Linked DNA regions of Pelodiscus sinensis. The protein of the gene in region 4 interacts with the protein of the main gene of each other region in a biochemical or structural test. Links are inferred from orthologs where the notes say so. Each region holds a gene or a part of one and is shown on either strand. Other genes may lie near its edges.

Region 1 (6,990 bases), on a different chromosome or scaffold from region 4:
TGAAAGCGATTGAAACCATGAATTTTGCATGGTTTCAATACCAAATAATAAACTGTCCCCGGTTGATCATATCCACTTGAAACTGGGTTGCTGAAATGGTGCGAAAGTCTTCACAAACCTTTTGGATTGACCTTTCTGCACTGTAATGAAGGTTTTGGAATTTGTTGTGAACATGCACTATAGTCAGCATGGTAACACAAGTAAGTGTAGATGACTATTAAAATCTGGGGGAAATGATGGAAAATGAATGTACAACTGAATATATTTAAGATGCTGTAAAAATGGACCAAACTCAACATTTACCTATAGCCTATGCAGTTTTCCTAGCATCAGTGAGATACCAGGGAGCAAATCAGCACTGAGTTTTGCCTATTCTTTTAGAATCATAGAATCCCAGGGTTGCAAGAGACCTCAGGAGGTCATTGAGTCCAGCCCCCTGCCCAAAGTAAGACCAATCCCAACTCAATCATCCTAGCCAGGGCTTTGTCAAACCAGAACTTAAAAACCTCTAGGGATGGAGATTCCACCACCTCAGTAGGTAGCCTATTCCAGTATTTCACCATCTTCCTAGGGAAATAGTTCTTCCTAAGATCCAACCTAGACCTCCCCCACTGCAACTTGACACTGTTGCTCGTTGTTCTGTCATCTGTCACCACTGAGAACAGCCTCTCTCCAGCCTCTTTGGACCCACTCCCTTCAGGTAGTTGAAGGCTGCTATCAAATCAGGGCTGGCCCACAACATTTTGGCACTTGAGACGGGGAGCTCAAATAACACCTCCTTGTCCCCTCGCGTGGGCCAAAACTTTGAAAGGTCTCAATTCTGCCTTCTTCCTGTTCTACTTCTCTCATGGGACTGCTCTGCTATCTACATATGCATCGGCAGCAGAGACAATTTTCTACACTCTGGGTCCTAGTGACACCCCCTTCTACACTCTGAGTCCTAGTGGCACCGCCCTCCCCACACACACACAGTCTGGAACCTGAGGCGGCCGCCTCAGTTTGCCTCATGATAAGGCCAGCCCTGTATCAAATTCCCCCCATTCTTCTTTTCTGTAGATTAAATAAACCCAAATCCCTCAGCCTCTCCTCATAGGTCATGTGCTCCAGCCCCAGAATCCCTTTTGTTGCCTCCACTGGACTCTCTCCAATGCATCCACATCCTTTCTGTAGTGGGGCCCAGAACTGAACACAATACTCCAGATGTGGCTTCACCAGTGTGGAATAAAGGGGAATAATCACTTCTCTAGCTCTGCTGGCAATGCTCCTACAAATGCACCCCAATACGCCATTTTAAATGCCCCTCCACACCTCGGCGTGCAAAATCCTCTGCTCTGCAAAGTGAAAGTTAAAAGAACCAGCAATATCCAGGCTAGTGCATTTGAGGAAAAGCTATAGATAGAGAAGGGGGGAAGTGTCAGAAGCCCAACCACCTCAGCAGAACAGAACAGATGAGGAAATGAGATGAGGGATCTTTCTGAGATGTGGAGGAAGGTCAGTGGGGATCCTGAGGCAGGAAGAGGCAGTGGGTAGCAGAATCTCTTTTTATTGAAACCTGCCTCTCCAAAGAATTATGATTATCGCTATGGATATTATTATTGGTAAAGGCTTTCAATTTCAAAGACAAAATATCAACACAGGCAATCTACAAATAAAAGCAGCTGCATTGAGCTCGGGAAGGGATAATATTCTATGTATTCTATTTATTTTGGAGGAAAGAATGTTTCTCATTTCTCCCCCTATGCTACAAAGGAATCATTTTCCTTAGGCACAGTTCCTGTCCTCCTCACCCAACTACAACATCACAAGGAAGTGTTCTGCATTGTTTGTGTGAGCTCAACCAGACAAAATCGCTTCCAGGTCTCATTTTCCAGCTAGCATGGGAGTCTTAGTTCATCACCTCACTTCAAAAGGACGGCTGTCCATGACTCAGATCAACTCTCCTTGAATCTGGGCACCCAACTCCCTTCTAAAAACCCCAGTCCAGATGCCAACAAACTCTTTTGTGTGTCCACCTAACCAGGTTCAGCAGCTCTTTTGCTCTGACATCCTTGTTCAAAAGATTGGAACGTCTGGAGCGACCCGTAGATTGAGAATGTCACCTCTGCTAAACACTATCGATTTTAAACCAAGCCCTGTCACATAACAAGCCTTTGTAATGCTAATTAGGAAAGCAATTCAGTCCAGAGCAGAGTTCATGTGTGCATCTTCATTAGTGAGGGTCTTTAATTATGAAAGTCATAGGAATAATTTCATTGGAGAGGCCTTATGAGATCTGCATATAAAACTTTCCTACCTTAAAAAATAGGTTTACTATGTTTAGCTTCCTTAACTCTTAACTTTTACGGATCCAAACTGAATGTAACATAGCAAGGCATTGGTACCAAAGATTATAGCATTTTTTTTTCCCAAGAAACAATTGATTTCTCTTGCTATTAATTTAGAATACATTTTTCAGGATTCATTAAGGACTTCATTAAACCAGGGCAGGTATAATGACTTTCTGAAGTGCATCTGCCATGATTATTCAAAAAAGATGATTTTATATGATGTATGTAGCAAATTCGGCTCTTAGGGTAAAAAGTTTTTTGTGGGGGGAAGAGGGAGCAAGAGCACAGAAGTGTTAAAGCACCTTGCTACTCCTCCATACTAGGACAAAACACAACACAACTTACTTTCTTGAAGTAGTCTGCCAGGTCATCTGGGCTCCAAGCAATCACCATTGAGCGATAGGGAAGGTTTTGTAAATCCATTTCTGTTCTTCTTTCCTAATCAGCTACAGAATTTTCATGCCAGGAGTATTAATGAGAGAGCCATAGATTTCCAGCCTGTGGCTACCTCCAGTAAATTCAACAATCCACTTGCCTAATAAATGCCCCAGGCTTTTGTTAAACCGTCTTGCTTTTTATTTCTGAGTTATGGTGCAACAATATCCAAGAGAGCAACTGCTTCCTCTAAGTACAAAATGGTCTCTTCTCAGAAAACTTGTCAGCGATTCAGTCTCACCACTTCCTTTATCTGAATCTAAATAAGTAAACAAGGAAGCACAGCAACACATTTGAAGTATGCTGCCTACTGAATATAACTGTAATCCTTATGAGCTCTAGTTTGCATGCTTTAATCTGGGGAGCGTGTTGGGTTTTTTTCATGAGATGTCCATACCAGTAGACTGGTACATTGGCTGTGGAGAATTATGTGGGAATGTACACATGTGCATCTATATTCCCACCACCAGAAAAGGCTGTGGGGGTTGGATTCAGTTTGTGCCATCCCTTGAAAACCAAGAAAATGCCTAGTTAAGGGAACCTTCTTTAGCACAACTCAAGGCCTCAAATGTCACATTGATTCCCTCTCTCCCGTACACGTATATCATATGAACATATTACAATGCACACATCAGAATCCTTGTTCTGATTCTCAGGTCTAATTTTAGCAATTGGGGGAGGGATAGCTCAGAGGTTTGAGCATTGACCTGCTAAACCCAGGGTTGTGAGGTCAATCCCTGAGGGGGCCATTTCAGGGTCTGGGGCAAGTCTGTCAGGGATGGCACTTGGTCCTGCCATGAGGGCTGAGCACTGGACTCAATTTGATGACCTCCCAAGGTCTCTTCTAGCTCTATGACATAGGTATATCTCCATATAATTAGCAGTGTGGCATTCTCATATGCTTACTCCAGCTTGCTGGGGGGGGACAGACAAAGGGAGCAGTTGCCCTGGGGGGGCTGGTGATTTAAAAAGGCCTCTGAGGCTCCCTGCCATTGCAATGCTCCAGGCCCTTTTAAATGGCTGCCGGCATCCCAAACCATGCAGTCTGGGCAGCGCAAAAAGGGCCGATGGAGGGAGACTAACTACCAGTCTGCACCTCCCACCCAAGGCCCTACCCTGCCCATTCCTGGAGATGCCTGTGTTGAGCCCCTACTCCCTTTTCCAGGGGACTGGCATTTCTGTCCTCAGCTCTGTATTTATGACCCGTATATGGCATAAGGTTTGCACAGGATGTCTCTCCTGGGGACAGTTGGAGGACAGTGCAAAGGTTTTCCATTACTGTGTGTGTAGGAACTCTAGGAACTCAACTTAGGGTTGCCAGGTGTCTGGTATTCTACCGGATAGTCCAGTATTTGCACTCTTTGTCCAGTAAACAACATCAGGGAATACCGGGCATGTGCAACGTCCGGTATACTCTGAATTTTCCGGATGTGCACTGGACGGAAACCTGGCATGGGCAGGGGGTTGGCTAGAAGGCGGGGCCACGATTGGCGCTGGGAGCCTGTGATTGCACAGAAGCCTGACAGGGGCGGGGGGAATGGCTGGGAGTCCCAGCCCCTCCCCGTCCTCCACAAGGCTTCTGTGCAATCACAGGCTTCCAGCGCCAATCGTGGCCCCGCCTCCCAGCCTGGAAGTCCCAGCTAGGAGGCAGGGTTGTGATTGCCTCTCTGGGTGCCCCAGAACGGGAGGAGGGAGGGCTTATTATCCCTTGTTCCTCTTTTTTTTTTTTTTTTTTTTTGCTCGACCAAAAAATACCACTTGTCCGGTATTTTTTGGGAGACCATCTGGCAACCTTAACTCAAATTTAGTTATGGAGGTTGTGAGGGGGCATCTGCCTGCACTGGTTATTTAAGGGCTAAAACCCAGCCCTGGAAGAGGGCTGGAGCTGTGGAGCAAGCAGCGGAAGCATATGGCAGCCAATTCGGGCCCAGCTGGGGCTGTATAAATAAGGGCTCCTGGAGGGAGGACACAGAGACACTCTTGCTCCAGCTGGGGAGAAGGAGGGACCTGGCTGCAAGGGAAGCTGGGGGCTTCCTGAGACAGAGCAGGGCTGGGAAGAGGCAGGCAGAGCTGGGGAGCTCTGGCCGAACCTCACTCGCAAGCCACAGGGCCTGAGACAAGGCCTGAAGATACTAGGGCTGTAGTTAGTGCAGGGCTGGGGAAAGGCAAGCAAGGTGGGGAGCTCTGGCCAGGCAAGCTTCCAGGTGGCAGAGCCTGTAGCAAGGCCTGAGTGTACTAGGGCTGCAGAGAAGCAGGTAAGCAGAAAAGGGCAGGCAAAGGCAGCAGGTCCACACCCCCCTTGCCAATTATCAGACTGCAGCTTGCCCCTGAGGTAAGGGGCTAGATGAAGACTGGCAGTGAGTCACTGAGGGAAGGAGGGCATAGGGGGTTGAGGTTCCCGGGGGGAGGACCTCAAAGTGCAGAGACACAGGGAGACACTGGCCAGAAGGGGGCCCCAGAGTGCAGAGACATGGGGAGACACCAGCCAGAAGGGGGCACTCCAGCATCAAAAAGCTAATTCCCAGAGGGTATCCCAGCCGTTATTTCGAAATAACTGTATTACCGTCTACACGAGCCAACTGCTATTTTGAAATTAATTCAAAATAGCGGAGGGCTTATTTTGAACTTGGTAAACCTCATTCTACTAGGAATAGCGTCAATTTCAAAATTGCTATTTCGAAATAAGCGCTGTGTGGACACGGAAAAGGGGCTATTTCAAAATAGGGGGCTTCCAGCCCTTCCCAGAGTCGCTGCTGGCCACTCTGGCCCCAACCAGGAAAACTCCTCTCCTCCCCTTCTCCCTGGAGCCCTTAAAGGGGTAGAGTCTGGCCACAGTGCCTGTGCTAGCTCCTGGCCTGCCAGCCCAGAGCCAGTATTTGCTGCCCCTGACCCAGTGGCCCAAACATGAGCCAGCAAGCAACTGGCAGCCATCTCTTCACCACTCCTCAGGACCAGTCTGCCAGCTCTCAGGAGCCTGCCAGGGGCCTGAAAAGGTGGGCGCCTTCCTGGTCCAGTGCGGAGATCATGGACCTGACTGAGGTTTGAGGGGATGCCTCCAACCTCCATGATCTCTGCACTAGATGGAGGAACACGGCCGTCTACAGCCGGATGGCTGCCAGCCTGGCCACCAAAGGCCACATCCAAACCCAGGATCGGGTCTGGATGAAAATTAAGGCGCTGCGGCAGGCATATGCCAGGGCCACAGGGGGCAGTTCCCCTTCCTCCCCTTGTCTCCCCCTTCCAACTCCCTCCTCCCACATTTCCCCCTCCCCTTCTCGCTTCTCCTCTCCCACCTTCTTTGCCCAGTCTCACCTGAGTTTCATGCCCCCCACCCCAGTTTTGTTCAATAAAGAGAGTTTGTTTTCTTGAATACATGTGTCTTTTACTGTACAGCAGGAAGGTGGGTTAAGGACGGGTCCATGGAAGGACATGAGAGAGGAATGAGGCTCAAGCCCACAGTGGGGCACACCAGGGAGTCTTTTAGTGCTCATTCAGGTAGAAGCTCTCCCGCAGGGCCTCCCAGATACAGACAGCCTCCTGATGGGCCTCCCAGATGGCAGCCATGTGGGGCTGCATGTACAGGCTGGCCAAGTGATCGGCCTCTGCCATCCAGGCTGGAAGGAAAGCCTCCCCCTTTCCCTTGCACAAATTATGCAGCACACAGCACGCTGCCACCACATGCAGAATATTCCACTCTGAGAGGTCCAGGAGGGTGAGGAGGCATCTAAAATGGGCCTTCAGCTGGCCAAAGGCACCCTCCACTATGATACGGGCCCTGCTGAGCCTGGCATTAAATGCCTGTCGGGAAGGGTTCAGGTGTCCCATGTAGGGCTTCATAAGCCAGGACTGTAGGGAATAGGCCACATCCCCCACCAGGCAGACAGGCATGTCCACATCTCCGACCCTGATGTGGTGGTCAGGGAAGAAAGTTCCGGTGTGTGGCCTCTGGCACACAGAGGAGTTGAGGTAGACCCACGCATCATGTGCTCTGCCGGACCAGCCCACATCAGTGTCCATAAAGTGGCCCAGGTGGTCAGAGACAGCCTGCAGGATAACGGAAATGTATCCCTTCTGGCTGATGTAGAGGGAGGCCTGGTGTTCCGGGGCATGGATGGGGATGTGTGTCCCATCAACAGCCCCCCTGCAGTTGGGGAAGCCCAGGGCGCCAAACCTCTCGATGACCGTGTCAGCATCGGCAAGGTGGATGACTCTGCGGAGCAGCCTTGAC
Region 2 (7,811 bases), on a different chromosome or scaffold from region 4:
TAGCACTTTAAAGACTAACAAGATGGTTTATTAGGCGGGGCAGACCATAATAAACCATCCTGTTAATCTTTAAAGTGCTACATGACTGGTTTTTTTGTTTTGTTTTACCAAGATCAGACTAACACAGCTATTTCTCGTTAAATACCTTCACTCTTAACCTTTTTTATGCCTTATTTTCAGTCTGAATTGGCCTATCTTCAACTTTTAGCTACTGGGTCTTGCTATACCGTTGTCTGCTAAACTAAGGATTCCACTATCAAATTCCTATTCCCTGTGTCAATATTTATAGACTGTGATTAACCTTCTCTTTGCTAAGCTACATAGATTGAGCTCCTATAAAGCACATTTTCCAGTCCTTTAATCATTCCTATGGTTCTTCTCTGAGCCCTCTCCAATTTATTCAGATTTACTGAGCCAATAATAAAGGCATAAAAAACAAACCTGGGGCACAAATGGCACAAGTCCAACAGAGTATGACTTTCAAAGTGCACATTTCAGATTTTGTTTCTTTAAATTAAATGCTTTTCCTCTGGCTTCCTCCTGAAATGGCTGTATCTGGCCATGTGAAAACTGATTCTCTTCTGGTATGAAAAGTGCTTCAGATCTATGGTTCCTATTCCCAGAGCACCATGGTGGAAGTGTACAAGATCAGGCAACCTTTTAGAAGTGTAATTGATTGTGGAATGGCTCAAACCAGCCTTGAGTAGCTCAATGTGGGGTCATGGGCTGTGATCTTACAAACACTTATGACATGTGCTGACCCCTAAGCATGGTGCTACTCTCATAAGAAAAGTTGAACATGCATTAGAATTTGCAGAATAAAAGGTATATAGTGTGGCAATGGTTAAGAACCTCTGCCTGATGCAAATCAGTGCCACAGCAGGTGTGGTCACACAGGTTACCTTTGGACTGAGGGGAAATGGAAGCGTTGAACTGCTTCGAGGATGGCTTTTTCTCATTTCGGTCTCTGTCATAATATTTCTAAGGGTATGTCTACAGTAGCTCATTAATTCGAGCTAGGTAGGCAAATGAGGCGACTGGAGTTGCCAATGAAGCCCGGGATTGAAATATTCCACGAGGAGTAACAGTTAATTCAAACTAAGGACTTAGTTCGAATTAACGTTTCACTGCCGCGTGTAGACACGCAGCAGTGAGTTCGGGTTAGTGAAATTTCAAAATGGTGACCGGACTGTAACATGCAAATAAAGCCCGGGATATTTAAATCCTGGGCTTCATTTACAACTCTGGTCGCCTAATTTGCCTACCTAGCTAGAATTAACGAGCTAGTGTAGACATACCCAAAGTTACATATTGAATATGGATGTCAAATGTTTGGCTTTTGAAGTTACTATGAAGAGTGAATCATAGGCACCAACTCTGTGGGTGCTCTGGGGCTGGACAGCCTCAGGGAAAAATTAATGGGTGCATAGCACCGACCAGCGCAAGCTCCTCTCCTGCCCTCCTCTCCCCCTTGCACCTCTTGCACACTAGCAGCCCTGTGCTCATCCACTCCTCCCTCTCACTGCTTCCTGATGGTCAAGCTCCAGGAGGGAGGGGAAGGAGCAGGTACTGGGCATGCTTGGAGGAGGAGGCAGAGTGGAGGTGGAGCAGGGTTGGGAAGAAGCAGGGTAAGGGTTTGGGGGAATGGAAGGAGTGTGGGCAGGGCCTGAAGTGGGGAATCAAGTACCCCCTGGCAGACAGAGAAATCAGAGCCTATGAATCAAAGAATCCTTGTTAGGGATACTACTACATCTTAAGCCTGTTGCAAGAAAGATGAGTAATCCTTTCACTGCTTCCAGGGTTCTTGTATGCATCTGGAACAGGTTTTAAAGATTGGACATTTTAATAAGACTGTGTACCTGGTACATCCATCTTGTACATTTCATGTCCATAATCAGTATGTTTTTCAGTATTACTGACAGAGCTAATTAGCCAGAAAACACACACAGTCACTTCTACAGAGCACAAGAACATGGTCTTCTAGACAAGATCTATTGACATACTACAAGCCAAATAACAATAAAATTTGAAGCATAATTATTGATCAGTTTTCAGTAAGCAACTGGGCTTATCATCTTTATGCATCAACAGAAGGAAAACAAATAAATTCCACTTCACTACCCAAAGGAACACTATGAAAACATAAGATTAAAGATACAACAACCCACTCTCCTACTTAAAGAGACACCAACAATTTGAAAGTTTTAGAGTCCCCTGCCAATTGCTGTGATGTTTACAATTACATTTTCCAATTTTTAAAATGTTTTATTCTTCCATGTTGCTGTGCGAAAGACCCATCCACTTAGAAGGTCTACCGGCTAGCTAATTTTACAGTAAAAGGTGTACATTAGACAATCAATAAAAAAAAAACTAAAATAAGTAGCTGTTATTTTTTCCTGTAGTCTTCTCAAGTTATAATAATCTGATGTCATTGTAACAAAAGAGAAATAAAATTCAAATGGGGTATGATTAACTGGGGTTTCCCTTTAATAAGTACAATATCCTTCTCCACTGCAAACTCAATTTTTAAAACATCATTTTAGACCACCGTTTTGTCCACATAAGTCTTTACACACAATTTCAAAAAAAGCAGTTTTCATTAGAAATAGTTAACTGTGGTAACAACCATCATATAACTAAAAGTTAAGAATAGTTTTTACAAAACTTACCAGGCCACTTGTACATAAATTCTGACAGTTAATCAAGAAAGTACAATGTACTGTAGAAATCCATAGGCAGTAAACAGAAAGAAGAGTGAGTAGCTTAGGCTTCCACAAATTAATGTTCCTCATAACTTGAGCTACTTCTTTTCCTCAGGCAGTCTTCTACTTTTCTTGTTTCAAGTCTTACAGATTCCTTGGATTCTAGATGCCAGATAGAAAACTGCATTTCAATGTTAGTAAAATCCTTCTTTATAATCCATCCATTCTATGACTTTGGGGCTTCCTGGATTACTTGAAATTGTGCAACATCTATTCAATAGTTTCTTATTAAACCACTCAGACAAAGGTGCCGACCAAAAGGTCGCATGACTCCTTATCACTGAAGTGAAAAGAAAAACTACGTGAAGTGATCTTATCAATGTATTATGATGAAAGCGGAAGAACATAAGAGAGAGAAAGAGGAGCCCTGTTTATATTTTCTCTTATGAGAAAAACCATTTTTAAGCACTGTTTTTAAAAATGGCTTGAGGTAACACAGCTGTGCTCACTGGGGTTGTGAAGAATGACTTAAAACATCTTTAACAAATAATCCACACTGGCCAGCACGACCATGATAGCTAAGACTATTTTCAATAACTGTTTCCAAATATGATACATGATGTCACATATAAACCCAAAACTCATCTGTGTTGAAAAGTTTGGTTGGGTTGTGCATGTAATGACAATAGATTGTCTACTGATCCAATTAAATTTTAAAAGTATTGATGTTGTAATTATCACTGTTTTTAAAATATCTATATTTGGTAGCAAAAGGAAGCCTCACCAAACATTTTGCTAGGTACTTTGCAAACACATACAAAGGGCTTGTCTATCCGCCGAGTTTCACCAGTTTAACTTAAGCTGTGATTATGTACTGTTGCAAAAGGCTGAATGGACACTTATTTCCATTAGAAAGTGCCTTATTTTGGTCTCTCTTAAATATATTAGGACATATATAAACTAAACTGAAATATTTAATTTAACCCAGATAAATATAGGCTTAGCCACACAGGGATTTATCCAGAATTAACTAAACCAGTTGAATTAAACTGACACAAGCCTATATGTGGACAAGCCCAAAGACACAAACCTTTCCTGAGTAGCTTGCTTTAAAACATTCTAAGGGAGATCAACAGACATTAAAATGTAGAAAGTTCTATTTTCTAAAATGACCTCCAGTAACTGTAGGGTATAAAACTCCATATGCAATTCATTATCCCTGCAATATCATCTGTGTAGACATTAATTAATTTGAAAATAATCAAGCACAATCTGTTAGTCAAGCACCTAAATTGGTGTAATTGTATTTGTAACTTTGTGTCCACGACACCAGAGAAGACTGGTGATGCTCAGACCAAAATCAGGGCCAAAATATTCAATTTAAAAAGAAACCAAGTATCTGAATGTGCCAAGTGAAGCCCTTTGTGGAACACAGCTCACTCCTTCCCTTCCGCAGCTCCTCCCAGCCTGACCCTGGAGCAGCTCTGCAATCCTCTCGTGCCGCTTCAAAGTCCTCAGCATTGGTCAAGCTGTTGATTGTTACGTTTGCCATATACACACCAAGAAGTTAGATATAAAGTATAAAATACTCTGCCGGGGGCTTGAAATACAGCCCTGCTTTACTGTTTGACTGCAGAAGCCACATATGCAAAAACCCCAAAATAGAGAGACTCAAAGCTTCCTAGAGAAAAGCAAGTTCCCTGACCAAGCTCTTTGCTGCTCTTTGCAGACTGACTGCTCCTGGTAGGACCACATCACACACACTTCTCTGCAGAGCCCCCTGTCTTGCATCTAGAGTGATAGTTTATAATCTACTACAGGTTGCATCTCCCAAATCCGGGATTCTCTCATCCGGCAACATCCGTGGTCCAGCATGACCACAGTTGTTCCTGGATGAGAGCTCCCTGGGGCAGGAGGGCCAGCAGCTGGGAGCCCAGTATAGCCCCAGGAGTTTTCTAGTAGTGGGGCTGCAGCAGCCTAGGCAGAGTGTAATCAGGATTGTCTGCTGCCCAGCAGAAGGGCCGGGACCACAGCAGCCCAGGAGGGGAAGCCTGGCCGGGCCATGTCAGCCTGGGAGGTGGCAGTGGTGATAGCAGCAGTGTGATGGGGGTTGCCTGCCACCTGGCAGCAGGGCCAGGACTGTGGCTGCAGCAGCCCGAGAGGGGATGCTGGCCAGGTGCCACTCCAAGCGGGACTGGGGCTGCAGCAACCCAAGGCAACATGCTGTTCAGCAGTGCGGCTGTAGCTGCCTGGTGAGCTAGCAGCGGAGCTGGAGCTGGGGCTGGCCTGCAGACAGCCCAGCCTGACTAAAGGAGCTGGCAGCAGGGAGGGGCAGCAGGCTGAGGGGCTGGTGTCAGGGGACCTCCCATTGTCTGGTAAACTCCTCATCCGGGATCAGTCTGGTTCTAAGGGTGCCAGATAAGAGAGATCCAACCTGTATATATTTGAGAAAGTTTGTGTCTGTTTGTTCATGTGCCTGTGAAGAACTCCTCCTAAATGGTAATAGTGAGAACCAGCAAATTTGGTATGCAGCTTCCTCTTATCATAACTTAAAGGAATATAAGGGTTTGGTTGTGCCAGGAATGGGATTGCTTCTCATAAAACCACACAGAAAAGAAACAGAATCACCAGGCAGGAGAAAAGGATTGGCTGCACCACCCCCTACCTCCCTCTGGAACTGCCCCAGCTCTGAACCTCCCACCTCCTAGGCACCTATCAGCTGGGCAGGGGGCCTAAAGCTCACCCCCACCATTTGAATGGGAACATTGCAGGCTGTTCCTCTTTGTCAGCTAGCAAGGGGAAAGTGCAGTTTGCTGCATTCCTCACTCTGGCTGAGGAATGCAGGGGGCAGATGAACTTGGACCTGCCCCAGCTGAGGGACATGCACACCTTCCATGGCTGTTCCTGCTACAGCTGCAGCAGCCATGGAGAGGTGCTTCTCACCTGGCTCCAAGCTGCTGCAGTGAGAGAGGACTGGGGTAGTCCTCTGTCCCAGGGGTAACCCCTCAACCCTAGCCCGACCCCAGAGCAATGATTTAAATGTAGTACAGGCAGTCCCCGAGTTACGCGGATCCGACTTAAGTCGGATCCGCACTTACGAACGGGGATCTCTCGCCCCGGAGCTCGCAGGCAGCGGGACCGCCCAGAGCGCAGCGGTCTCACCACCTCGACCTCTGGGGCGAGAAAAGCTGCTCCGGGTGCCCCTGGTCTGCTGGGGACCATCTCCAGAGACCAGGGACACCTGGAGCAAAGCCGAGGAGGCGGAGGGGTCCCACGCCTCTGAGGCTTTGCTCTGGCAAAGCAGGGGAGGCGCGGGACTCTGCCGCCGCTGCGGCTTTGCTCCCAGTGTCCCTAGTCTGCTGGAGACGGTCCCCAGCAGACCAGAGGCACCGGAAGCAAAGCGGCAGCAGCAGCGGCGGTGGAGTCCCGCGCCTCTGAGGCTTTGCCAGAGCAAAGCCTCAGAGGCGCGGCACCCCACCGCCGCTGCCGCTTTGCTCTCGGTGCCTCTGGTCTGCTGGGGACCGTCTCCAGTAGACCAGGGACACCTGGAGCAAAGCCGGGAGGCGGAGGGTCCCGCGCCTCTGAGGCTTTGCCAGAGCAAAGCCTCAGAGGCGCGGCACCCCGCCGCCGCTGCGGCTTTGCTCCCCGTGTCCCTGGTCTGCTGGGGGGGGCGCAGCTAGTGCCCCCCCCCAGCAGACCAGGGAGACGTGGAGCAGAGCCCCGGGCCTGTGGTAGAGCAGGTGGGGCGCTGCCGGTTGGTCCCGCAGCACCATTCCTTGGCGCTACTGGACCAACCCGGCAGCACCCCAGCTGCTCTGCCCCAGGAGTCCCCAAGTCAGCCGCTGCTGAAACTGACCAGTGGCTGACTACAGGAAGCCCCTGCCCCTTGGCTTCCTGGAATCAGCCGCTGATCAGTTTGAGCAGCAGCTGACTTGGGGATGCCTGGGGTTCGTAAGTTGAATCTGTATGTAAGTCAGAACTGGCGTCCAGATTCAGCCGCTGTTGAAACTGATCAGTTTCAGCAGCGGCTGAATCTGGACACCAGTTCCGACTTACATACAGATTCAACTTAAGAACAAACCTACAGTCCCTATCTTGTACGTAACCCGGGGACTGCCTGTAGGTACGTTTTCATTTCATTTTCAAAAAAACAAAAATGAGTTAAGGACTCAAGCAACACTGGGTACATCTTGTAGTTTTAATATAGTTTTCAATATACCGCAGTGCTGAGGTACCTTTCATGAGGTACCTCAAGCAGGGCCATGGACAAAGTGAGGGGAGGCCCAATGCAAGCAGAGTCATGGGTCCTGCCAGTAATCGGCAAGCACATAGAACTCCTCTGGCCCCAGGGCTGCGTTGGGAACACAAACTCCTCTGGGGCTTTGGCAGGGGCCCAGAACCTGCCCGTACAAAAGCAGTCAAATTCTATACACACCCCTGCCCTCAGGATATAGTCTACAGGTGGCCAGTTGCGTCTAAGTCCATAAAAAAAGATAAGACCAGAATATATTTAGATTTGCTTATCTGAGGTGATTCTTATATACTAATAAATTATTAATAATTTGTATTGTGGTGGCACCTAGGAGTCCCGGTCCCAGTCCTGTGCCCTATGATATTAGGTCAGGGGTGGGCAAAAGTCTCTCAGCAGGCTGGAACCAGCCCGCAAGGCACTTTCCGGCCCTGCCCCCTAGCTTGTTGCCTCGGAACAGGAGAGGGGCATGAGCCCTTCAAACTGCTTCTGTTTAAAGGGCTCCTGTCTTCCCCACGCCTTGTCTAGCAACTGTAGGGGAGGCACAAGCCCTTTAAATAGAAACAGCTGAAAGGGCTCTCAGTCTGGCAATGCTCTAGCGCCATGGGGAGCCCAGGGGAACAGGAGAGACCTTTAAACAGAAACAGCTCAAAGGGAACCTGCGTCTCAGGCAATGTGCTAGAGGCATGGGGAGCTGCAAGCCCTTTCAGCTGTTTCTCTTTAAAGGACTCTTGTGTTCCCCAAGTAGCTAGGGTTGCCTGCCAGGTGCTGGAAAGACCTTTAAATAAAAGTACTTAAAAGGGCTTGCAGCTCCCTCAGCCTCTAATGAGTTGTTAGGAAGCCAGAGATGTGAGCCTTTT
Region 3 (7,217 bases), on a different chromosome or scaffold from region 4:
AAGTGCTTCAGCAGCATAGCAGCCTGCACAAGTGCAGCGACAGCACTGTAAGTGTAGACTAGGGATATGATTGTGTACATTAACCAATGAGCCTAGGCTCATCAGTTAACCTTCAGGGTTACACATAAGCTCCCTCCCGTGCTGCTGCCATGCCCTCCGCCCCCCCACACACACTGCTGCCTCTGATACAAAGACAGCAACATTGATTGGTAGGGGGAGCAGGCAGGAGCCAGCGCTCGCAGGGAGCCAACACTGACAGCCAGAGAGATGCCTACCTGCCTTCCACATTGCTGCCTCTGATACAGAGGCAGCAGTGTAGGGGGCAGGCAGGAGTCAGCATGCATAGGGAGCTGATTTTTAAGCTGGCTCCCATGAAACTGTCTCTCCCGCCCCACATGTGTTATTGTGTAGCCACTGAACATTTCAGAAGTTACATGTTTACCAAAACACACACACATATTTTAACATTCCTAGTGTAGACAAGCCCTCAGCTACTACCCCTCTCTTGGTGTCAGGCACCTATGCCATTTTTTTAAGTAGCCTGAGGGTAAAAGGGCAGCAAGAGGACAACCCTCTCATAATTTTTAGCCCAGTGGTTAGAGTACTCACTTGGGATATGGCAGACTCATGGTTCAAGTTTTCCAGGGGAAGCAGTCTGCTACTAAGTGCCCTAACCACTGAGCTATAGGAAAATCTCTCTTACTCGGTCCTGCTGAAGCTTTTCCATTGTGGCTAAATAACTGTAAAATTCAGTGAACGGCATGAGAGAGACTGCCACTCCTAGTGCACTATCCATGTCTACAGAGTCAGTCTGTCTGTCTCTCTATCTCATTCCATTGTGGACAAATTAAAGAATCGCTGGGCCAGAGAGGGTTATTTGCAAGACCACTTCTTTAAAAAATTGTTAGAACTGAGTTCCATCACCACTCATGTTTTGTCACCATCCACTGCTTTCCTCCACCATTAGCTTTTTTATATTGTCAGGTTTCCAGTGCTCATACAAATGGTGAACTGTATTCATCCCTGGTGCAACTCCTATAAACCATTAGTTATCCTAGGGATGAATTTGTGTCTCTGAGAATATTTGATAGCTTCTCTCCTACATGTTTTTGATTAAATATTTTGATGGGGAAATCTCATCTCTGTCAGCCTGACATATTGCAGTTACTGCACTGACAGATGACATCGGTAATTTGACTTGGGTTTGACACTGTCTGACCTTCTATACAATTTAAATCCAGATGATGGCAACTGCTCAGGTTTCACACATATGCTAGCTGAGACTGATTTTGCAACCTTTTCGGAATTGACTACATTCCTTCCGCTACAAATTACCCCCGTGTACTTCAGCTGGACTACCTGCAGAATAGGGTAAAATTTAGCATGAATGAAGGTGACAGGAATTGCTAAATGCCAAGTCGGAGTGACTTGTCCAAATAAAAGGGCAATATATTAGCATGACAATGGCATGATAAACATGCATTGGTGCTGCCCCATTGGTTCAATTACCATCAATTCAGTTCTTTAGGACAGTCCTGTATGGCATGGGTGAAAGGACCTAAAAATCCACAAGCCCGGTACAAGAACAACCTCCTTCAAAAGAGGGTTTGGTAGGTTTTCTTACTGGGAAAGAACAGATGAAAAACTTGCCTCGCACAAGACTAACAAAACGCAAAACCACTTTGACTAGGAGATGCGCTACTAAATTCAGCCATGAAACGGTTCATTCCGGAGAGCAGTTAAATGGGAGAAAAAAAGATGGAAATCAGCGACCGCACGAAAAGGTCTGCTATACTTTACTTACAACTTCGCCACTGGGGCTACACCGGACTGCGGCTCTTGGAAGCATTTCTCGTTACTATTTCGGTTAACAGCAATCTAACCACAGGGACGTTTTGTACTGATGGAGAGATAGTTTTACTGACAAAACAGTAATCAGATGCAAAACCCCTCTCCCCGGCAGATAACAGTTCTCGGAACAAATCTGGATTAACTACCGCCCCTTTTCCCTGACTATGGGCAGCACCTCTACCGGGGCGCGCAGCCAGACCTCGAATGGGGAATATGAACAAAAATGCGGATTCCACTGGCTCAACAGCAATGATTATTTTGACTCCCTGGTCAGTCCCCCAATGAGACACTTCGGTAGCTCTCAGGCTACCCTGCTGCCCCTCCAAAACCAATGCAACTCTGCCAGCAGAAAGCACTGCTCACGCGTCTCCAAAACTCGCGCTCAAGCGACTCATTGGCGGGCCAAACTAAGCAAAGCTTCGCAAAGTTCCTGCAACTGAAACGCAGGGCAGCAGCACTCACCGCAGCGCAACAAAGCCAAAGCCCCAGCCCCCGGGAGCGGGAGGGACTTCGGAATAGCGGGAGGAACCTGCCCCTCCGTGCGACCCGCTGTTCCGACTGTTTGCAGCCAGAGTTTTCACACTAAACACAGCTGGGGTGTCTTTACCGGGGGGGGGGGGGGATAGGCAAGGCCGCCACTCTCCTCTGCCTCGGCAGAGAGGCGCACAGGTGCTGGAAGGAGGGAGCCGGCTTGACGTGTTTTCCGCCGGCTACTGGCTGTTCAGTTCGGCCCAGGCGGAGGTGCATTAGGAGTTGCCTTTATCCCCAAACTCCTCCACACCGGCCGCGCTGCCAGCCCCGCGCAGGGAGCGGAGAAGCCGGTGCGTGCTGCCCCTTCCCTCCCCGGTTCCTGGATGCACCGTCCCCCCCGCGCACGAAGCAGGCGGAGGAGCGCGGAGCCCCCGCGCGGCACAGCCCCACCTGTTGGAAAGCCCAGCAGCAGCGGCAGCAGCACGGCGCCCGCCAGCTCCCAGGCCAGGCAGGACCCTTCCATGCTGCTCCTCGCGCCCGGCGCTGCCACGAGCCTCCGGAGCGCTCAGACACCGCGGCAGCGGCAGCCTCGGCAGTGGTGGAGGGAGCGCAGCGCCACCGCCAACCTGCTCCTCCTCCAGCCACGCCCCCCCGGCCCGGGCCGCTGCTCGCTCGGGCGTCTCGGCTGGGCTCCCCCAGTCAGGCTCATCCAGTTCCCGCCGGGCCCCTCCCTTTGAGCCACTGCCCGAGGGGGCTGGGGGGGGGGGGGGCGGGTCGGACACTCGGTGTCGCGTGACGCCGGGTGTCAGCCAGAGGGGCCTCACACGTTATCAGGACGAGCTCTCGGACGCTGCGGAGCGCGGGGAGCAGCCCGGGAGCCCGCCTAAAGCCAGCGGCGGGGCGCTGCGCTGCACTGAGAAGCGACCAGCCGGCAGCTTGGTCACAGCTTCCAGCCCCGACACTCGCTAAACGGAGGGCCACTGGGATATGGTTATGGAATCGGCATCAATCCTGCGTGTAGCCTCTGTGTAGGTAATGGGGCTTCTCCACACCAGGGTTAGCCTGCACCCTGCAGGGAGCGCTGGGCAGGACTGGGCTCTGGAGGGGGAACTCATTCCTTAACAAGCAGAGCTACAGCTAAACAAAGCCTCTTTCCCTTCAGAAAGAACCTGAGCCATACAATGGGATCAAATATCTCTACAGCCGTGAAAAAAAGGGGAGGGGAGAATCCTTGCCCAAAGGTATAGACACACGTACACACACACGCTGGCGAACAGATCATGTGTATACATAAACAGACACGTTTAACAGCACTGAAATTCCACTCAGCACCAGATAACCCAGACAACATCCTACTCATTTCTATAAGGCACTCCCATGCGGAAATAACTTTTTTATGTTGTTAGACATCCAGAGAGAGAAAAGACACAATTGGGCCGTGTGAAGGAAAACTGTCAAAAAGCTAAAGAGAATTGAAACCCCTAAAATATTGTTTATTATGCATCCGCATGTATTGAGGGAGACAGGTTAAGTTTTTAGAATCAATGTGAGCTTACTTTCAAGTGTGTCAGTAAAGATCAGAAGAGTTATTGAAAATAAGTTATTCATTTTCTTTTCTTTTTTTCCTTCTAAAACTGTCATTCCTTCTAACCTCCCATCTGGGCAGGACAGTCTTTAGATCAAAGTCTTGTCTTTGTCTTGTATGTATAAAATGGCTGTCTCAATTTCTCTACTTTCATCTTAGAACACTGGTCTCTATTGGTAGATAGCTGGAAACTGAATAATATTATATTTAAAAAATCAAATAGCATTCTTTAAAATCACATTTTTCACCAGGAGTCAACCTCAAAACTAATTTTGGAGGGCATTTTAATAGCAAAATATTTTCAATTTATGTCTATTCACTCCAACTGAGGAAGAGGGTGTCTCAGACTCCTTATATATCTAATCTATAAAATGCATATTTAAATTCATTTGTCCCTATAATCTTAAAGCGATATTGCCATTTTAGTCCTTAAAGAGTTTTCCAGCATCAGATGTCAAGTGCATAGATACAGTCTTTACTGGATCTATAAAAACTATATCCTATTCTTAAAGATATGTCTTGTGTTATTACATACATGATACTCTATTATAAAAATTGTCTTTTCAGTGGACTCTTAAGCAGAAAATAAAGGTTCTAAACTTCTTGATAAAACCTTTGTGAGTTTATAGTCTGCAATCTATATTAAGAAAATAGATTAGTTCTTACAAACTGCAGGGTACTGTAACTTTCCCCTTTGTTACCTCTGAGCATGGAAATCCTCTTCAAGGTTGTAGTAAGACATTTCAGTTAGTAACCCAGTGCAGTGAATTTGAAAATATTTGCAAAAAAGTTATTCTTCCCCAAGGTTTTTTCATTCCTGAGGATACTGTGTATAAAGACCAATATAGCTTAGCATAACAAGAAAATATAGAGAAACAACCCATCTTATTTACAGCTCAGTCTTGTGAACAGTGATTGTGGAACTCTGCCTTCAAAAAGCATTCTGCCTCTTCTAGGTGTATTTTTGTATCATTTCCTCCGTGACTGATTGGGGCCTTCAAACACTAGCCCTGCTACTTCCTTCCATTCTGTGTCAGGTCTGAGTAAAGAATTAACTTCTTGCTGGAGATCAAGTCAGACCTTTACATCCTGTTCTGGATACAGGTTCTGTTACAGGTCATGAAAAATCCTACTGGGATTTCTTCCAGACCAAATGTTTTGCATGTCTACAAATCTAAATAAGTAATTACAAAGATGATTAAATCTATGTGGGTATGTCTACACTACGGCGCTAATTCAAACTTAGTTCGAACTAAGCTAATTCGAACTAATGCATCCAGACTAAAAAACTAGTTCGAATTAGCGTTTTGCTAATTCGAACTAGCATGTCCACACAGAGTGGACCCTGAACCGGGGTTAAGGATGGCCGGAAGCAGTGCCGGCAGGGCATCAGATGAGGACTTAGAGCGTGGAGCTGCTGTCTCAGGCGAGCCGAGGGCTGTGATTAAAGGGACCCGACCCCCACCTCGGACAGACAGTTCTCAGGAGTGCCCCGCTTGCAAAGCAGTCCGGGCTTGGATTGCCCGGAGTACCCACACTGGGCACATCACACCACTTGGCCATCAGACCGGCTGCACTTGCCGCAGGCTGCCATCTGGGGAAAGAGGGCAATTGGGGGGCTGCAGGAGAGGTTCCACCCCCAGAAGCCCACAGAGCCAGCCCAGTCCTCCCCATTGGGGGCTCGTACCCCATTCCTCCCTTATCTCCTTCCACTTATTCCTCCCTAGCCCCCCTTCCTGATGTACAAAATAAAGGACAATTGTGTTCAAAAATAGAATCTTTCTTTATTGAACAAACCTGGGGGAGACTGGGAAAAGGAGGTGGGAGAGGGGAGGAGAGAGGGTGGGAGAGGGGAGGGCAACTACAATGATGAGGGGTTTGGAACAGGTCTCATATGAAGAGAGGCTAAAGAGACTGGGACTTTTCAGCTTAGAAAAGAGGAGATGGAGGGGGGATATGATAGAGGTCTATAAAAGCATGAGTGGGGTGGAGAGGGTGCATACAGAAAAGTTCTTCATTAGTTCCCATAATAGAAGGACTAGGGGACACCAAATGAAATGAATGGGTAGCAGGCTTCAAACCTATAACAGAAAGTTGTTCTTCACAAAGCAAATAGTCAACCTGTGGAACTCCTTGCTGCAGGAGGCTGTGAAGGATAGAACTAGAACAGAGTTTAAAGAGAAGTTAGATCAAGTCATGGAGGTTGGGTCCATGGAGTGGTATTAGCCAGGGGGTAGGAGTGGTGTTCCTGCCCGAAGTTTGTGGAAGGCTGGAGATGGATGGCACGAGACAAATGGCTTGGTCACTGTCTTTGGTCCATCCCCTCCAGGATCCCTAGGGTTGGCTGCTGTCAGCAGACAGGCTACTGGGCTAGATGGACCTTTGATTTGACCCAGTACGGCCATTCTAAGCTCAAGGCTCAGGGTCGGGGGGTCTCAGTGGACCACCTTGATTTGCATGCAAACCTGCTCCTGGGTGGCCAGGCTGGCAGCTCTCCTGCCCTAGACGGCCGCTTTCCTGTGCCTAGTGCGGAGGTCATGGACGAGGTCCACGATGTCTACACTGGACCAGGCGGGTGCCCGACTCTTGCGGTCCTGGGGAAGGTCCCGGGAGCCGCCAGCCTGGTCCCGGGAAGAGGGGGAGGCCTGGGGGACATCGGGTGGCTGGCTCAAGCCGTGCCAAGTGCAGGGACTGCTGGCTGGGTGCTGGCAGGCTTGCACCTGGCACGGGCACCGTAGCCAGCCCGTGCCCCTTTAAGGGTTCCGGGGCTCGGAGTGGGGCAATAGAGTTTCCCCGGTATTGGCCAGAGTGGCCACCAGGGAAAGCTGGGGAGGGCTAACCTCCCACTAGTTCAAATTAAGGGGCTACACACCCCTTAATTCGAACTAGGCTTAGTCCTCGTACAATGAGGTTTACCTAGTTCGAACTAAGCGCTCCGCTAGTTCGAATTAAGTTTGAACTAGCGGAGCGCTAGTGTAGCACCTATCAAAGTTAATTCGAATTAACGTTCGTTAGTTCGAATTAACTTTGTAGTGTAGACATACCCAGGGAGACTAAGTCAACTCCTCCGGTATTTTCTTTAAATTACATTTTTGGGAGAGGACATTTCTATCTGCATATAAACTTCAATAAAATAATAAAACTTTTGATTGATCTGACGTACATCACAAGAATAAGGGTACGTCTACACTACAGCGCTAATTCGAACTAAGCTAATTCGAACTAACGCGTCTAGAACTAAAAACTAGTTCGAATTAGCATTTTGCTAATTCGAACTAGCATGTCCACATTAAGTGGACCCTGAACAGGG
Region 4 (7,262 bases):
TCAATGAAAACCTCTGCTTAGTGGGCAGAAGCCATCAAAGCATGAAGCAAAGCTATAAGATACAGCCCAATGGACTGGAGAAAAATACTGGTCCTATCCCAGTGCTGTCACGCCAATCAGTGGGATTGCCCTCACTTGCAATGCTGCGCTCTGCTCTAGCTACTCTCTCACGTCTGAAAAGACTGGGACTGCTCAGAGAAGTAACAGGTAAGAGGAGACAAGAAAGAGACCTGGCACAGCAGCAGTATGGCAGCGACTAGAGACTGGGAGTGCAGTGCGCTAGGCAACACGTTCATATCAGACACAGGTACAGCCTCTGCCCCAAATTGCCTATTATCTACATCAGGGTTTCCCAACCTATGGGTCACCATTACATTTCAAAAGGGTCACCAGGTGTCTCCCCAGGAGACTTTTTGTGAATTGCCCTGGGTCACCAAGTCTTCCTGAATTGTCGGAATGGGTCCCCCTCTGGAAAAGGTTGGGAACCGCTAATCTACATCGATGAAAAAAAGTCCATGTCTACACTGCCAGCACCGCTGCAGTGGCCACTTCCGTCAACAGGCCCAACCCCATGGGAGCACTCACCGGGAAAATTCTACAGTGGCAGAAGGGGTTTTTCTGTCAGTGTAGTAAATCTCTCTCTCTAGGTCTTGTCTAGTCTTTAATTCTGAGTCATGTCACTTTGCCACTGTAGCACTTTAGTGAAGAAAGACGCTACCTATGTTAGCGGGTTGTAGTTCTCTTCTCAGCATACGTATTCCATCTCCCAGAAAAGCAGTGGCTGGGTTGACAGGAGAATTCTCCTGTGGATCTAGCACTGTATACACTGGGGCTACGTCTACACTATGCACTTTGCCAGAAGAGGCAATGTAAATTAAGCGCTGATTAGCATTTTCTTGTGCTTCATTTGTGTAATCTCTTCCAATCCGTTTTTGTGCAAGAGGTTTTTGCGCAAAAACATGCAGCGTGGACGTTTCCTTTTTGCACAAAACACCCTTTTTGCACAAGATCCTTATGCCTCTCCCCGTCCACACTGCATGTTTTTGTGCAAAAACCTCTTGTGCAAAAATGGATGGGAAGAGATTACACAAATGAAGCATGAGAAAATGCTAATTGGCACTTCATTTAGGTTTCCTCTTCTGGCAAAGCAGCTCAAAAGTTTGCTTCTATCTCCAACAGAAACTAGTCCAGTAACACATATTACCTCACTCACCTTGTCTCTCTGACCCCATGAGTGAGGGTGCTGTGTGCCCGGGGGCAAAAGCAAAATTACCCCACACACCCCTCTGCCCGGCGGGGCCCCAAATCAGGTGCACAACTGAGCCCGACCCTGGGCGGGGGGGGAGCTTGTACCGTGTTTTCCCCTGTGCCCTCGTCTGGGGCCAGGCCCCTAGACACACTAACCCATCGGCAGACATGGAGGAAGGTGAGGCTAGGGGTGGAGAGGAGGCTCCAACCAATGGCGGTGGGCAGAGGAGGAGCAGGAGAGCTGAGGGACGACAGGGGGAACAGAGGGGGACTAAATTGGCACCCTCTAGCATTGCGCCCGGGGGCAACTGCCCCCTCGTTCCCCGCTTGATGAGCATAGCAGGATTCATAAAAGGACTGAACGTTATATGAATGACCAGAACCCTCACACTTACTTTTGATCAGAGAAAACAGAAGGATAGAATGTCTCCTGCTTCTGATCATAACCCAGGAACCAAGATGGATAAGAAAGAAACCCCTCGTGGAAACACATTATTGAACAATAAACTAAGGGGTTTTCTGCACCTTCATCCAACACAGCTGACTGTGGCCACTGTCAGAGACAGGAGACTGAACTGGACAGACCAGATCTGGCAATTGCTACCTATGTTCATACTCTGCCTGGACCTTCCTCCAGATGAGAAAGGACATTAGTGGAAGACAGCCAGGAAGACAGCACTGGAGCTATGCCTCAGTGTTCCTGTACCATGGGCATGGGAGCAGCTAGGGAGAGGAGACTTCATTAAGGCTCCTCATTCCCTTCTGACAGTTCTACAGCACTTTAATTTCTTGCGGTACTGATCCTGGTTTAGAAGTCAGCCTGGGAGCCATGTGGAGGGGACCCCATGATTCGTGACACTGTGGAACCCACACCCTTCTGCAGATTACAGAATTTCAGCAGCTGTTTCTAAACAATTCAGCTGCCAGCCCTCTTGGCTGTAGAGGAAGCTTTCTGAAGGTGCTTTCCTGCAGTGCTGTCTGCTGAAGTCTGCACAGCAAATATGTCTGGCGAGTGCCCAAACTCCTGGGCTCCATTTCCAGAGGAGGAGCAGGGCCAGTGAATTAAAGTGGGGAGAGGCCTGGCCTCTGGCAAAATTATGGCTTTGTCTTTGATTTGCTTTAGGACAAGGGCCAGTCCCTTCCCATCTGTGCCTTGGAACAAACGAGCTTTACTTTTGCTAGGGTGAGCAGTACTGACCCCCATCTCTCCTATAGCCCCCTTGCCCACCCTCTCCATTGCTGCTTTCCCCACATCTGCCTCTCACTTCCCAGCTCTTTCTCCCATCACAAACCCTACAGCCAAGAAACCCCTTGGAGAAATACACTCACCCACAGGATGGCATCAGGCCCCTGGTCACAGGGATCCTCGCTGAGAACCCTCAGCCCAAGGACCCTACTGAAAAGGAGACAAACAATGCTGCTGATACCAAGGAAACAGGAAGAATTTCCTGAGAGAGGGGCCCAGGACTGAAGCTCATTACAGACTCAGGCATGGGGGTGGATGTAGCACCCAGAGGGAAAGCATAGCTAATTTCATAGAGCCAGGAACAAAAAGGTAACTGGACCTAGATCACGGCTAGTAAGATTCCCGACTCACCTGCATCTAATCCATTCAGTAAGGCTCTGAATGCCGCTTACTCTCCAGCCCTAATACTTCCTCCCTCACATGGTCACAATAGTTGAGGGTGAGCTGGAGCAGAGAGATGAGGAAGCCTGAGCTGAGGCAACCAGGCCCAGTACAAAGGGCTTCCCAGATCACCACTTGCAAATCTCTCCCTGAGCGGTAGTTAATAAATAAATAGGCGGGTGGGGGAGGAGACACATGGGCAGGAGAGCAGGTGAGCAAGGTAGGCACTGCCTGTTCTCCCTGCCTCCTCCCCACCAAACCTTCAGCCTCCCTGGAGAACTAACAGTATCACAGAGGATAAAAACAAATTAAACTCCTCTGTCATCTGGAAATAGCCACCTGAGCCACAGCTCCTGGCCCTTCCAATCCTAGGCTCCGCACACAGCCTTGCTAGTGCCCCTCAGCCCTGCCCTGCAGCCCCCTGCTATTCCAGCCACGGGCTCCCCTCACAGCCCTGCCAGTGCCCCTCAGCCCTGCCCTGCAGCCCCCTGCTATTCCAGCCCTGGGCTTCCCTCACAGCCCCGCCAGTGCCCCTCAGTCCTGCCCTGCAGCCCCCTGCTATTCCAGTCCTGGGCTCCCCTCACAGCCCTGCCAGTGCCTCTCAGTCCTGCCCTGCAGCCCCCTGCTATTCCAGTCCTGGGCTCCCCTCACAGCCCTGCCAGTGCCCCTCAGCCCTGCCCTGCAGCCCCCTGCTATTCCAGCCCTGGGCTCCCCTCACAGCCCTGCCAGTGCCCCTCAGTCCTGCCCTGCAGCCCCCTGCTATTCCAGTCCTGGGCTCCCCTCACAGCCCTGCCAGTGCCCCTCAGCCCTGCCCTGCAGCCCCGGGTTCCCCTCACAGCCCTGCCAGTGCCCCTCAGCCCTGCCCTGCAGTCCCTGCTATTCCAGCCCTGGGCTCCCCTCACAGCCCTGCCAGTGCCCCTCAGCCCTGCCCTGCAGCCCCCTGCTAATCCAGCTCCCCAAACAGCCCTGCCAGTGTCACTCAAATCCCAGAATACCTACATCCCCTACAAATTTAGTGCCCCCTTTTATTTTTAAAAAGTGATTACACCAGAAATGCAGAATCATGAAGTTGAAGCTATGTCTACACATAAAATATTACAGATTACTCCTACCACAGGTCCCTTTTATCAGCCCCTGAAGACAACCTGGAGGTCTGCATTTAAAATGCTATTGTCCTGGGTCAGTGCAGACCAGTTGTGAACAACTTGAGGCCCTTTGGAATTCTGTGCATGGCCCATGAGCCATTTTGTTTACTGTTGCCCACACACAGGATTGAGATTCTGCTGGTTTTCGTCCACACTTTTTCCCTACTCGTATTACTAAAGTGACACGCATGAAAAGCAAGGGCACATGACATGAGGCGTCTGCTGACTGCACATGACAACACTGACAGAGCTGTGCACGCTCTCTGCATCCAGCCAAAGCACTGCTGTGGTTCAATCGGCACACCCCACAAATTCTAGTTACATTAGTGCAGTTTGCAAAACAACTCTATCCTGGGAGACTGTCTTGGTTAGGACAATTTTGTGACCCACTGAGATGAAGGAGGATCTCTCATGCGGCCCACTCACCAGCCCAGGTTGCCCCTTACTGGGGTAGACCCTTACCAGCAATGGGGGGATTCTGTCATTACTGCAGAAAATCCACCTCCCTGAGAGGCATTACGTAGGGTGATGGAAGAATTCTTCCATCAATCTAGTGCTGCCTGCACAGGGACTTGGGTTAGCTTAACCAAGTCAGTTAAGGGCGTTACATCCCTGAGCAACATAGCTAGATCAATCTTATTTTCTACTGTAGACCAACCCTGAATTATAAAGACCTTCATGCTCAATAATTGTGAAACTTCTTAAATTTCCTGCATCAATATGTTATTGTTCCCCTTATTTGGGGTCTTTGTCACATATTGTTTGTCTAACCTTGCCTGGACTAGAAGACTAAATTGTATTTACAAATACCTTAGCAAATATGTTTTGAACAATGCATTGTTAAATGTTATCTTTTAAGAAGACAGAGTTTGACACCTTTTAAAACACGTAAGCTTGCGGTGGTAAACCCTAAGATCCCTCTAACTATGTTAAACACGCCTAAACTACTGTGTAAAAATGTGTTAGTGAAGAAGTGCCTGCTGCAATATTTTTAAACACAATCTACTTTTCTAAACTAGACCCAGCCATTGCATTGAACAATGGAGCCTTGACAGGTTGAGAGATACACGGAGCCCCACCCCAAATGCCTGATGTTCCAGTCCTGAGCCCCCTTCACTCTGCTGCCTTATGTCCTGGCCTACAGCACTCCCTGTAGGATTTACAAGGTTGGAGGTTTAGAAAGTGTCAATTGGTTTCAAGCCTTCTGCTTCCAGGCCTAAGATTGCGATTCCCCATACCACACATCTTGATTTCCTTAAATTTAGCTCATGCAAGGTACTTATCTCCTGAAGGCAGAACTACACAGATTAGGGGATTACCAATAAGGGGGAGGGGAGAGGTAACCAGAGCTCCCTTCTACCTTACATTCAGTGGGGCGTGCTCTCTTTCCCAGGAAGCAGCGCTAAGATCCAGACTGGGTACACACTCACTGAGAAACACATGGGGACATTTTCAAAGCAGCTTTTATTCACAAGCTCAAAAAACAAAGATGCACAAAGAAACCAATTGCTGCAGAGTTTCCAAGAAGTAGGGGGCTCTTCTGGCAAACTGTAGCACACTGATGAGTGGTGGAGAGCAGTCCTGGAATCCCACTTGTCAAAAACTCTCACAGGCATGTAGTGTGGCATGACTTGGCCCAAGAAGGCCAGCAGAGGGTCCCGGTTTTCAGGAGACAGGCACACCCCCTGTCCCAGCCCCGTGTGGGGGCAGTGTCATTGGAGGCAGGAACATGGCTTTTAGCTTCCCAGACATGTTTGCAATCTCAGGATCCTGGGACTCATAAGATTTTATCAGTCGGGCAAATTTCAGGACACCTAAGAGAAAGAAGGGGAAGGAAGAAAACTGCTGGGAAGAGATCTAGCTGGTGACAGTATTCCCCAGTACCCCCCCCCCCCCCGGTAGGTTTTCCAAGGATACCATCCTGTGGCCAGACAAAGGAGCTGCAGGTGGAGAATACTGCACATGTGGGTCCAACGGCTGCACTAAAGTGCTGCTTGCACTGCCCTTTCCCCGGGCCCACACCGCTTTGTGCTGCCTGCCCTCGGCGGGAGCCTCCGACACAAAGGCCGGAAAGGGAAACCACCGCAGCCCGGCTCTGCCCCGGCCCGGCGAACCCACCTTCCCCATCGCTGCTGAAGCCGTAGGCTTTGATCACGTCCTGCTGGATCTGGGTGGCCACGGGCAGCAGGAACTGCAGCATCTTGCCCATGTCGTTGCAGGCGTTGTCCCGGGCCTCCTCCATGCGCTGCGCGTTCTCCGGGGAGCCGAAGGCCTTGATGACCTCGGCCAGCGCCACTGGGGAGACAGGCAGAGCAGTGAGCCCCGCCCAGCCCGCCCCGGGTGCAGCGCGCTGCGAGGGCAATGGGGCGCGGGGCCGCTGGGCCGGGACCCGCCTTCCCCGCTCTGCAGTGCAAGTCGCGATTTGCGGGGGGGGGGGCGCAAGTCGGGGCGCGCGGGGGCTCCTACCCGCCCTCACCTTTGGCCTGCTCGGCGCTCAGCGAGCCCGGCGCGGCGGGGGCCGGGGCAGCCATGAGGCGCTGCAGGCGCCAGCCGGGACCGCGGGCGCGAGCCGGCGCCGCTGACGTCAGGGGGCCGGGAGGGGCCGCAGCAGACGGGGCGGGACAGGGGCCGCGCGGCTGCGCTGCCGGGCCTGTGGGCGGGAGGCATCTCGCGCTGGGGGTGCAGCCCGGGAGCCCCCATCGCTCCCCGCCGCCCACACCCAGCAGAGCGCGAGCGGCCCCAGTCTGACATTCACCGCGGAGTGAGGCTCCCTGGCAGCGCAGAGAGCCTGCTAGACAAATACTAAAAGAGCTGAAATCACTGCGGAGAGGAGCCCGAGCGCGGGCCCCCAGCGGCTGCCAGTGCGCGCTCGCTCAGGGTGACTTCCAAGCAAGGGCGTGTAGAGCTCCTGCGGACTCTGCACAGCCCCCCCCCCAAAGCACCGGCCCCCAAAACCACATGCCACGTGCTGTGAGCCCCGCAAAGGAGCGTGTATTGAACAAATTAGCGCTATGCAGATGAGGTGATTTCCTATTGGTGTAAAAACGCAAAGGCCACGCCCCCTTACGACAGTGGCGGCGGGGCCGGTGGAAAAAAGCCCGGCGCGGGGCGGGGCACGTGCTCTCAGGGCAGCTTGCACTAGGCAGGAGAGTGATAGAGGCGCCCGGCGAGTGCACAGCAGTGCCCTGCCTGCGGCGTTTGTTTACGCGCTGTACTGGCTAGCACTGAGTTGGGGGCTGCTC

The links.
Region 1: the proteins of PTPN6 (region 4) and LCP2 form a complex in vitro, tested with the Homo sapiens proteins (2 studies listed by BioGRID). The link is inferred for Pelodiscus sinensis from reciprocal best matches to the Homo sapiens genes PTPN6 and LCP2.
Region 2: of the proteins of PTPN6 (region 4) and ROS1, one has a biochemical effect on the other in vitro, tested with the Homo sapiens proteins (2 studies listed by BioGRID and IntAct). The link is inferred for Pelodiscus sinensis from reciprocal best matches to the Homo sapiens genes PTPN6 and ROS1.
Region 3: the proteins of PTPN6 (region 4) and KIT form a complex in vitro, tested with the Homo sapiens proteins (2 studies listed by BioGRID). The link is inferred for Pelodiscus sinensis from reciprocal best matches to the Homo sapiens genes PTPN6 and KIT.

The regions. Positions count from the first base shown.
Region 1 is NC_134727.1:6,090,954-6,097,943, reverse strand, and holds the start of LCP2 (lymphocyte cytosolic protein 2), read right to left. Parts: upstream 3,003-6,990; 5' UTR 2,751-3,002; coding exon 2,673-2,750; intron 1-2,672. UniProt on the Homo sapiens protein: Adapter protein primarily involved in signaling pathways within T-cells, as well as other immune cells such as platelets, mast cells, and natural killer (NK) cells.
Region 2 is NC_134713.1:83,887,393-83,895,203, forward strand, and holds the start of ROS1 (proto-oncogene tyrosine-protein kinase ROS), read right to left. Parts: upstream 3,001-7,811; 5' UTR 2,793-3,000; coding exon 2,670-2,792; intron 1-2,669. UniProt on the Homo sapiens protein: Receptor tyrosine kinase (RTK) that plays a role in epithelial cell differentiation and regionalization of the proximal epididymal epithelium. NELL2 is an endogenous ligand for ROS1.
Region 3 is NC_134715.1:85,355,134-85,362,350, forward strand, and holds the start of KIT (mast/stem cell growth factor receptor Kit), read right to left. Parts: upstream 3,019-7,217; 5' UTR 2,846-3,018; coding exon 2,773-2,845; intron 1-2,772. UniProt on the Homo sapiens protein: Tyrosine-protein kinase that acts as a cell-surface receptor for the cytokine KITLG/SCF and plays an essential role in the regulation of cell survival and proliferation, hematopoiesis, stem cell maintenance, gametogenesis, mast cell development, migration and function, and in melanogenesis.
Region 4 is NC_134711.1:138,130,731-138,137,992, forward strand, and holds the start of PTPN6 (tyrosine-protein phosphatase non-receptor type 6), read right to left. Parts: upstream 3,001-7,262; 5' UTR 2,846-3,000; intron 2,645-2,845; 5' UTR 2,592-2,644; coding exon 2,578-2,591; intron 1-2,577. Other genes in the region: C1H12orf57 (protein C10), read right to left, coding at 5,686-5,834, 6,139-6,315, 6,497-6,551. UniProt on the Homo sapiens protein: Tyrosine phosphatase enzyme that plays important roles in controlling immune signaling pathways and fundamental physiological processes such as hematopoiesis.